Linked DNA regions of Macaca mulatta. The protein of the gene in region 1 interacts with the protein of each later gene in a pairwise test. Links are inferred from orthologs where the notes say so. Each region holds a gene or a part of one and is shown on either strand. Other genes may lie near its edges.

Evidence for each region. The genes of interacting proteins can lie anywhere in the genome.
Region 2: the proteins of GOLGA1 (region 1) and PDCL2 interact in a two-hybrid assay, tested with the Homo sapiens proteins (2 studies listed by BioGRID). The two-hybrid records come from large-scale screens. The link is inferred for Macaca mulatta from reciprocal best matches to the Homo sapiens genes GOLGA1 and PDCL2.

The regions. Positions count from the first base shown.
Region 1 is NC_133420.1:22,847,936-22,853,627, reverse strand, and holds part of GOLGA1 (golgin subfamily A member 1), read right to left. Parts: intron 4,980-5,692; coding exon 4,810-4,979; intron 4,329-4,809; coding exon 4,217-4,328; intron 475-4,216; exon of another isoform or gene 1-474. UniProt on the Homo sapiens protein: Involved in vesicular trafficking at the Golgi apparatus level. Involved in endosome-to-Golgi trafficking. Mechanistically, captures transport vesicles arriving from endosomes via the protein TBC1D23.
Region 2 is NC_133410.1:77,911,696-77,917,387, reverse strand, and holds part of PDCL2 (phosducin-like protein 2), read right to left. Parts: intron 2,944-5,692; coding exon 2,823-2,943; intron 1,274-2,822; coding exon 1,183-1,273; intron 1-1,182. UniProt on the Homo sapiens protein: Essential for male fertility, spermiogenesis and acrosome formation.

The DNA of each region.
Region 1 (5,692 bases):
ACTGAATTTGAAACAAGTTCAATGTCATTTCCTTCAAGGATTAATTCATCTTTCTGGGCTTGAGATACTGAACAAGCAACACCTGGTCTCATCCGAACCCTGCGGATGTATTTTTCACCCAAGAAATTTCGGATTTCAACAAGAGACCCATGCTCCTGGATAACGACGTTGATGGGGAAGTGAGCATACACAGACCTCATCTTGTAACGGAAGCCCAGTGTAACACCCTTGATCATGTTCTGTACATGACTACAAAGAGTCCGAATGGTAGCCAGTTCCTTTCTGTTACCCCACCATTTGTCAACCCAAAGCCTCTTTTTTTTCTTTCCAAGAAGACTGAGTTCTACATTGATGTGATTGAAGTCCCTCCGCAGGGTTCCTCTGGGGCCCTTCACGATAACTGTGCGTCCCTTCAGAGTAATGTCAACAGTTTCTGGAATGTCGACAGTCTGATTGCTGAGAATGGTCTTCATTCTCACAGTAGACGCAGCAAAAAAAGCCAGAATGACTTCATTTATACAACATTAATAAGCATGGAAAACTAAAGAAGATATTGTTTAGGGATAAAACTGACAACATTAGAAAGCAAAGCAGACAATGAAGCAATCTCTGGATAGTACTTACTTCCAAAGGAAAAAGGAATGGGATGGAATAGTGAAGGGCACAGAGGGAACCTCAAAGATAAACACATTGTTCTTTTTCTTAACCTGAGGGATAGCTCAGAGGGCTCATTGCCTTGTTATACTTTCTATCGTACTCATATTTTATAAATATGATTTTATATATACTCAGTAAAGACAAGAAAAAAGTGAATTCCAAATTAACAATCTTCACACAATACCGGCCCATCTGTTGCCCAAGCCAGAAGCCAATAAATCACCCATAAAAATACAGAATTTTGTCTTCCTCTCCTCCCATATCTGTTATATTAGTAAGTCTGTCAATATTTCTTACATTTGTCTACCCACTATTATCTTCACCACCACACTTGTCAAAGCCTCCATCATCTTATGGTCGAACAACTGCAAAAGCTTCCTAAGTGGAAGACCCTCTCAGTCTCCTAATGGCCAGAGTAATCTGTTATTCTCTCTTATTCTGTATGTCACTGGCTTTCTTCTAGTTCCTTGAATGTGCTAATACTTTTATTTGCCTCAGAGTTTTTGTTCATGCTGTTCCCTGCCTGAAATTCTCTCTCATTATCCCTTTCTCTCCAGCCTGAGCACTGCATCAAGTGTTACTTCCTTAAGTGTTCTACAGCTCCAAGACTGGATCTGATCTGATATCTTTTAATAGGATCTCACAACATCTCGTAGTTTTCTTTCGGAACACTCATCACAGTTAGTAATTATATATGTGATTACTGATTAATGTCTGACTTCCCTTCTAGACTATAAGCATTACAAAGGCAAGAACTGTATCTATTTTGCTCACCACAATATTATGAACACCCAGCACAGAGCCCAGCACATAGTAAGGCTTAACTAATCTTTCTAGCATGAATGAAGAAACTTACTGTGACCACACTCTGGACTTCCCTGAGCCCCATTTTTCCAATTATAAAAACAACAGATGGTTCTAATTGACATCAAAGGGTCCCTTGAATATCAAAGTTGTGGCCAGGTGCCTATAATCCCAGCACTTTGAGGGCCAAGGTGGGCAGATCACTTGAGGCCAGGAGTTCAAGTCCAGCCTGGCCAACATGGTAAAATCCTGTCTCTAATAAAAATACAAAAATTAGCTGGGCATGGTTACATGTGCCTGTAGTCCCTACTATTCAGGAGGCTGAGACGGGAGGATTGCTTGAGCCCAGGAGGTGGAGGTTGCAGTGAGCCAACATCACGCCACTGCACTCCAGCCTGGGTGACAAAGTGAAACCCTGTCTCAGAAAAAAACAAAATACAAAAACCAAAGTTGTGTGTCTGTTGTCCCCCTTCTTCCACGACCCCAAATGTACTCTCTAACCTTCTGCCTTTTCTGCCTCCTGTTGTCCTCCTGATCCTTGACATTCCAGTTCCTCTAGGAAGATTTCCTTGACTCCTGGGCTGGAATGTACTTCCCCTATGGCATATATTTTGTATTTGAAAAATCTAGGGTTGAGTGTGGTGGTTCCCCTCTGTAATCCCAGCACTTTGGGAGGCTGAGGCGGGTGGACTGCTTGAGCCCAGGAGTTTGAGACTAGCCTGGGCAACGTAGCAAAACCCCATCTCTACAAATAATAATAATAATAAAAATTAGCCTGTTGTAGTGGTGTGTGTCTGTAGTCCCAGCTACTTGGGAGGCTGAGGTGGAAGGATCACTTCAGCCTGGGAGGCTGAGGCTACAGTGAGACGTTCATGCCACTGCACTCCAGCCTGGGTGAAAGAGCAAGACCGTGTCTCAAAAAAAAAGGAAAAGAAAAATCTAGTTCATTTACATGAGACTTCTTGTTTGAGCATTTCTTTTCTTGTGATTACAATAGGTTTGAGTTCTATAATGAAACTGTAAGCCTCTGAAGGAAAACAACATCTGTACTGAGATTTTTAGTTCGTTGAGGGTAGAAAGCTTGTATCACAGTCATTCATTCATATATATATTTACTGGGTGCTCCTTATTGTGAGGCAGCAAAGTGCAATAGAATAAGCATGAGTTTTGGAATAAGACTTGGGTTAGAATCCAACTCTGTCACTTACTGTATAATTGTGAACAAGGTCAATAACCTCTCTTAGTTTCCACTTAGATATCTGTAAGTATGATAATACTTAGCTAGAAGGGGTATACAGACCTCTATTGACAAAATCTTACTGTACTGTAATTATGCTGTAAGGCTCTGTCTCACTTGAGATCAGCATTTCTCAAAAGATGAGGGTAGGGTGGATGGCACTGCCCAACAGGGGGGTGGTTCTGTGATGTGAGGGGAAGGGCTGGATGTCAGTGACTAAAGGATGCTATTGGCATTCAGAACCCAGAGGCCAGGAATGCTAAATGTCCTGCAATGCAATGGACGATCATACAATACAAGTTGTTCTACTCAAAATGCCAATAAGAAATATGCCATTGGGAAATACTACTTTATTTTATTTCTATTTATTTATTATTATTTTTTTGAGACAGAGTCTCTCTCTGTCACCTAGACAGGCTGCAACGCAGTGGTGCAATCTCAGCTGACTTGCAACTTCCACCTCCCAGGTTTAACTCAAACTCCTGCTCAGCCTCCCAAGTAGCTGGAATTACAGGCACACGCCACCACACCCAGCCTTATTTTTATATTTAAAGACAGTCTTGCTCTGTTGCCTGGGCTGGAGTGCTGTGATATGTTCCTAGCCCACTGCAGCCTTGAATTCCTGGGCTTAAGCGATCCTCCCACCTCATGATCCCAAATGGCTGGAACTACAGGTGCACATACCACACTGGCTAATTTTTTTTTTTTTTGGTAGAGATGGGGTCAAGAGGAGGACCTCATGTGATCCTCCTGCCTTGATCTACCAAAGTGCTAGGACTACAGGCTTGAGTCACAGTGCTGGGCCTAAGAAACACTACTTTATATTCAGTAATATTATTCTTCATCTTTATATTCTCAGAGTTTAGCACAGCCCTAGTGTAGAAAGAAAACAAATGTATGTCAATGAAATGAAAAAACAAATTGTAATGACATCATTTGATTATGTGCCATAGAACAAACTGGATTACAGCCAAGTATGTCAAAGGTACAGCCCTGGTCATGTCAGCCACTATTGTTATATTTTTCATGCTCAAGGTTCATTATGTGCTTAAAGATATATTTGAGTCAGGCCAGGTACAGTGGCTCATGCCTGTAATCTCAGCACTTTGGGAGGCCGAGGTGGGTGGATCACGAGGTTAGGAGTTTGAGACCAGCCTGGCCAACATGGTAAAACCCCGTCTTTACTAAAAATACAAAAATTAGCCAGGTGTAGTGACGGGCGCCTGTAATCCCTGAGCAGTAAGAGCAAGACTCCGTCTTAAAAAAAAAGAAAAAAAAAGAGACATATTTGAGTTGACCAAATGGTATAAGAATTCCTGATGGGAAAATACTGACTACTTCTGCTAAGCAATTGTATGGCCATTTCCATCTGAGTGCAGCCTGGCTAGAATAAGAAATGGAGCCATGTGGACTGCATGAGAAATATATGTTCAGTAGTCACTCTTAGGCAGAAATATCTGAAAGAACTAGTTTTTATGAATCTTAGAAATCCAGGTCTTCTCCTCATACTCTACTTACCTTTTGCAAATCAATGGAAAGCTGCTGAATGAGTGCTTGGAGCTCTTGTTCCTTTTGTTCCAGGGTTGTGATCTTACTTTCTGCACCTGTTTTTGAAGCTATCACATGATCTCTTCATCAAAAGAAAGCAGACAATGAACAAATTTGGATATCTCATCTAATATACAGTCTTCTGTAGGAAAAATACAAATGGTTCTTTCTATGTCAGGGCTACAAGCATCATTAGCCACATGCAGTTTTCAATGGGAAAAGCCTCAGCTCTCTCTGAAGCAGGAGCCCAAGGAGAAAAAGTCCATCCTAGTTTAAGAAAGAAATCCTGACCTGCCTCTCCTTAGTCTATAATACCTTACAAACTAAAACCACATTGAATTGCTCAGCAGGGCTGGAACTGTCCTGAGTTTCAGCAGCTGAAGGGGAAAGTGGGTTGGAGGTAGGGTGGGGCCTAAGTCCTAGGCAGGTAAGTATGTGTCCAGAAGCCTTTGCCAGCACTGGAATCAGAAAATGGTGTAATGAACAACGGGGAAAGGTGAGCAGGCTATAGCCAGAACTACACTAACACCTCTTCCCAAGGGCCCCACAGACCAAGCAAGAACCTCTGCTCTTCCAGCGTTGAGTAGTGTCTCTGCAATTCTTCTAGCTTCTGGCTTAAGTCTGATGACATCTGGTTGGAGTTCATCAACTCCTCCTGGGTACGACTAAGTTCTCTGGTTCGTGCCTCCAATTCTTGCTCCATTTTCCCTAGACTTTCTTCTTTTTTTAAAAGCTGACACAAAAATACAAAGTTTCATTGGGCTATGCTAAGAAAAATACATTTAAGACCGGGCAGGTGGCTCACGCCTGTAATCCCAACACTCTGGGAGGCCGAGGCGGGTGGATCACTTGAGGTCAGGAGTTTGAGACCAGCTAACTGTTCGCCATGGCTAACATGGCAAAACCCTGTCTCTACTAAAAACACAAAAATTAGCCGGGCATGGTGGCGGGTGCCTGTAATCCCAGCTACTTGGGAGGCTGAGGCGGGAGAATCACTTGAACCTCAGAGGTGGAGGTTGCAATTAGCCAAGATCATGCCACTGCACTCCAGCCTGGGTGACAGAGCCAGGCTCTGTCTCAAAAACAAAAAAAAAATTAAAAAAGAAAAATACACTTAAAAACAAATCTGGGCTGGGTACAGTGGCTCATGCCTGTAATCCCACCATATTGGGATGCTGAGGCATGCATATCGTTTGAGCCCAGGAGTTTGAGACCAGCCTGGGTAACATGGTGAAACATCATCTCTACAAAAAATACAAAAATTAGCCGGGAATGGTAGTGTGCCTGTAGTTCCAGCTACTCGGGAGGCTTAGGTGGAAGAATCCCTTGAGCCCTGGAGGTCAAGGCGGCAGTGAGCCACCATCATGCCACTGCACTCCAGCCTAGGTGACACACACACACACACACACACACACAAAAAAAAAAAAAGAAAAAAGAAAAAAAAAT
Region 2 (5,692 bases), on another chromosome or scaffold:
AGTTTCGCTCTTGTTGCCCAGGCTGGATGGAGTGCAATGGCACGATCTCGGCTCACTGCTACCTCCACCTCCCAGGTTCAAGTGATTCTCCTGCCTCAGCTTCTCAAGTAGCTGGGATTACAGGCATGTGTCACAATGCCTGGCTAATTCTGTATTTTTAGTAGACACGGGTTTCATCATGTTGGCCAGACTGGTTTGAAACTCCTGACCTCAGGTGATCCACCCACCTCGGCCTCCCAAAGTGCCTGGATTACAGGCGTGAGCCACTGCACCCTGCCTGAGAAAGATCTGATTGCTATATCTGCTCATTGCTCCCGAGTATTGCTGTTCTAACTCCATTCACTGGTGGGTTTTGGTTTTTATTTTTGTTTTGTAGAGACAGGGTCTTACTATGTTGCCCAGGCTGGTCTGTAACTCTTAGCCTCAAGCAATCTTCCCACCATAACCTCCCAAAGTCAGAGATTACAGGCATGAGCCACTGTGTCCAGTCCCAATTCACTGTTTTTTTTTTTTTTTTATTGTTAAAATGACCTTGCATTCCTGCAACCAATACCACTTAATCAAGATTTATTATTTCCTTAAATTGCTGGACTTAATTTGCTAATATTTCCTTAAAGATTTTGTGTTTACAGTCATGAAGGATATTTGTAGTACTCTGTTTTAGTGATATCTCTCTCTGGTTTTAGTATCAGGATAATACTGGTCTTGTAAAAATTATTTTAGAACTTAGAACAGGTTCATACATTTCCCAGCTTATTTTAGTTGTGAAGTAAGTTGGGAAATGTATGACCCTGTTCCAATTTCTAAAATAATTTGTTTAAGAGTAGTAATTAATTACTCACGAAATGATAGTTGCCTTTGACAGGCATCATGCTAGAAGGAAAATCATGGCCATCTTTTTATTGGCCTCTTATTGCTATATTCCACTTTAATCATACATAGCTTGATGAAGTTATATTGTACATTATTGGATAATTTTCTATTCAATCAAAGGCAAAATATTAAGAAAAAATAAAGTAATGATGTAATAAAATTCCACCTTACATAAAGGGAGTTTCAAAATGTTACTTAAAAATTAGTTTTGTTCTTTGTAAAACCTATCTGACAAGACAAATCTTTTTAGTTTTATTCTTATAATACTTCATTCAAAAATGTATAATTAACCCAAATGAATCACTGTACCTGTATGTTTCAATAGCTTGCATATCTTCTTCATCAAATTCATCTTCAGCTTCCTTCAGCTGTGCAAGAGTCATCTTTTCAAATGGTTTCACTAAAACAACATAAATTATAGATTATCAAATTGTTTAAAAATTTTTTTACTATACAATCAATGTCTAGAAAAAAACTGTCTTAGACAAAGGAGATCAACAGTATCTTTAAACAGCCGGGTGTGATGGAATCCCAGCACTTTGGTAGGTCAAGGTGGGCAGATCACTTGAGGTCAGAAGTTTGAGACCAACCTGGCCAACATGGTGAAACCCTCTCTCTACTAAAAATACAAAAATTAGTCAGGTGTGGTGGCAACACCTGTAATCCTAGCTACTCGGGAGGCTGAGGCAGGAGAATCACTTGAACTCAAATGACTGAGGTTGTAGTGAGCTGAGATCGCACCACTGCATTCCACCCTGGGCAACAAAGCGAGACTTGGTCTCAAAAAAACAAACAAACAAAAAAGAGTATCTTCAAACAAACATAAAGCAGCCAGCCACCAAAAAAAGGTATACATATTATAGAAAGTATAACATTAAAGTATTACTCCGTCAAAGTTCATAGAACTGACAGGCTACATTTAAAACTAGGTATGGGCTGGGCGCGGTGGCTCAAACCTGTAATCCCAGCACTTTGGGAGGCCGAGACGGGCGGATCACGAGGTCAGGAGATCGAGACCATCCTGGCTAACACGATGAAACCCCATCTCTACTGAAAAATACAAAAAAACTAGCCAGGCAAGGTGGCGGGCGCCTGTAGTCCCAGCTACTCGGGAGGCTGAGGCAGGAAAATGGCATAAACCTGGGAGGCGGAGCTTGCAGTGAGCCGAGATCCGGCCACTGCACTCCATCCAGCCTAGGTGACAGAGTGAGACTCCGTCCCCCACCTCAAAAAAACAAAAAAAACTAGGTATGAAAATCAATTAGATTTCATAAATTCAGATTTCCCTCAAGTACCTGGAAATCTTGATAAAGAAGACATACTATACATACTATAAAGAATGATAAAAATAGATGGTAATAAGATAGAGGGACAGGGTGGGAGAAGAAAGCTCCCTAGTTTATGCAACAGGCTATTTCAGCTCTGTTATTAACTAGTATGCGATTTTCGAAATGTGAAATTAGTCATTTTAGGTGTATACAAATACTGAAAGAATATAAATACTGAAAGTAGTTGGGGTTTATATTAAATGTTTTTGTTTTGTTTTGTTTTTTTGAGACAGAGTCTTGCTCTGTCACCCAGGCTGGAGTGCAGTGGCGCAATCTTGGCTCATTGCAAGCTCTGGCTCCTGGGTTCACGCCATTCTCCTGCCTCAGCCTCCCGAGTAGCTAGGACTACAGGCGCTCGCCACCATACCCTGCTAATTTTGTTTTTGTATTTTTAGTAGGGACTGAGTTTCACCGTGTTAGCCAGGATGGTCTCGATCTCCTGACCTCGTGATCCGCCCGCCTCCGCCTCCTGAAGTGCTGGGATTACAGGCGTCAGCCACCGCGCCCAGCCTATATTAAATGATTTCTAATGTCCTCTCTCCCACTATGTTCATGAAGTACCTTACTACTAACTTAACTGTATTATTCCCATCATCCAGCCCACCAAATCTACAACCATACCCATTGCTTCTTTCTGTAAACCTAAAACCATTTCTTCAATTTCATCTTTTGACTCTTCTTTAGGAGGAAGAATGCCAAAATCTCTTAAAATGTCATTCCATTCTGTATCTTCATTGGGATCCTACACAAAAAGGAAAGAAAAGAAAATTAACATGGTTGTACACTTTAATATGTATTTGGAAAATTCATTGACATGTAGCACTTAAGTGTTCAATTGTTCATGAGCTCTACAGTTAATTGGTTTTGGAGAATAAAGCAAAGTGACCTACTTTCTCCTACTTTCCAGCACTAATGGGATTATGTGCTCCATTGAAAACTTTAATAAAGTATCAATTTAGAATACATATATAGAATATTAAGGAAGTATCTCCTAAGTCATGGAAAATTTGCTGAAGACTGCATTGGGCAAAACCAATTCACATCATACACAAATACAGTTTGGTTTCCTTTTCTACGTAAGCATTCGAGACCATCAGATGAACTTCCTTTTTTTTTTTTTTTTTTCTGAGACAGAGTCTTGCTCTGTCACCCAAGCTGGAATGCAGTGGCATGATCTTGGCTCACTTGCAACCTCCACCTCCTGGGTTCAAGTAATTCTCATGCCTCGGCCTCCTGAGTAGCAGTCTTGCTCCACCAAGCCTAGCTAATTTTTGTATTTTTACAGGGTTTCCCTATGTTGCTTCAGCTAGTCTTGAACTCCTGGCCTCAAGTGATCCTCCCTCCTCAGTCTTCCAAACTGCTGGGATTATCTTTGCTAATTTTAAAATTGGGTTGTTTTCTTACTACTGTTATTTGAGTTCCATATATATTTTAAGTAGTAATGCCATGTCAAGTGTATTGCTTGCAAATATTTTTTCCCAATATATAGATTGTCTCTTCACTTTGCTAACTGTTTCCTTTGCTGTGCAGAAGTTTTTTAGTTCGATATAATCTTGTCTATTTTTGCTTTGTTGCCTGAGCTTGGGGGATTAAATCCAAAAATTCACTGCTTAGACCAGTAGTGTGTAGTTTTTCCCCTGTGTTTTCTTCTTGTATAATATTTTCACAATTTCAGGTCTTATATTTAGGTCTTTAATCAATTTTTAGTTGATTTTTATAGATGGAGTGGGATAAGGGTCCAATTTCATTCTTCTGTATGTGAATATCTTCTTTCCCAAAACCAATTATTGAAGAGACTGTCCCTTCCCCCATTGTGTGTTCTTGTCCCCTTTGCCAAAAATCAATTGACTGTAAATGTATGAGTTCATTTTTGAGTTCTCCATTGGTCAATGTCTATTTTATGCCAGTACCATGCTGTTTTGATTACAATGGCTTTGCAATATAGTTTGAAGTCAGGTAATGTGATGCCTCTAGTTTTCTTCTTTATGCTCAAGATTGTCTTAGCTATTCAGAGTTTCTTGTGGTGCCATATGGATTTTAGAACTGCTTTTTCTACTTCCGTACAAAAGGGCAAATTGGAATCTTGGATAAGGATTATATGGAATCTGCAGATTGCTTTGGGTAATATGAACACTTTAACAATAATTTTTCCAATCCATGAACATGGAATATCTTCCTATTTATTTGAGTCTTCTTCAATCTCTTTCATCAATATTTTATCATTTTCAGTCTACAGATTTTTCACATCCTTCTTTAAGGAGTATTTAAATCCTAAGTATTTACTTTTTTGTAAATATTATAAATGGGATTATTTCCTCAATTTATTTCTCTGATAGTTCATTGTTAGTATACAGAAATGCTACTAGTTTTTTGTTGTTTTTGTTTTGTTTAGCTTTGTGTTTTGTTTTTTGAGATGGAGTCTCGCTCTATTGCCCAGGCTGGAGTGGAGTGGTGCAAACTCAGCTCACGGCAACCTCTGCCTCCTGGGTTCAAGCAATTCTCCTGTCTCAGCCTCCCCAGTAGCTGGAACTACAGGTGCCTACCACCTCACCCGGCTAATTTTGTATTTTTAGTAGAGATGAGGTTTCACCATGTCGGCCAGGCTGGTCTTAAACTCCTGGCTTCAAGTGAGTCACCCACCTCAGCCTCCCAAAGTGCTGGGATTATAGGTATGAGCCACCATGCCTGGCCAGAAATGCTACTAGTTTTTATATTGATTTGGTATCTTGCAACTTTACTGTATCCATTTATTAGTCCTAACAGTATTTTGGTGGGGACTTTAGGGTTTTATATATACAAGATTACATCATAAGCAAACAGCAACAATTTCACTATTTCCTTTCCTGTTTGGATGCCTTTATTTATTTCTCTTGCTTAATTGCTCTGGCAAAGACCTCTGGTACTATATTGAATAGAAGTAGTGAGAATGGGCACCCTTGTCTAAGAAATAAAGCTTTCAACCTTACCATTGAATATAATATCATCGGTAGGCTTGTCATATATGCCTTTATTGTGTTGAGGTATATTCCTTCTATACCTAATTTGTTGCAAGTTTTTATCATGAAAGGATATTAAATTTGGTTGAATGCTTTTTCTGCATCTAACAAGATTATCATATGATTTTTGTCCATAATTCTTTTAATGTGGTGTGTCACATATGTAGATTTGCATATGCTGAAACATCCTTGCATCAACAGGATAAATTCCACTTAATTGTGGTACATTATTCTTTTAATGTGCTGTTGACTTCAGTTTGCTAGTATTTTGTTGGGGATTTTTACATCTGTGTTCTTCAGAGATAATGGCTTGTAATTTTCTTTTCTTGTAATGTCCAGGTCTGGCTTTGATGTCAAAGTAATGTTGATCTCATTAAAAAGATTTAGGGCCGGGTGCAGTGGCTCATGCCTGTAATCCCAGCACCTTAGGAGGCCGAGGTGGGCAGATCACCTGAAGTCAGGAGTTCGAGACCAGCCTGGCCAACATGGTGAAAC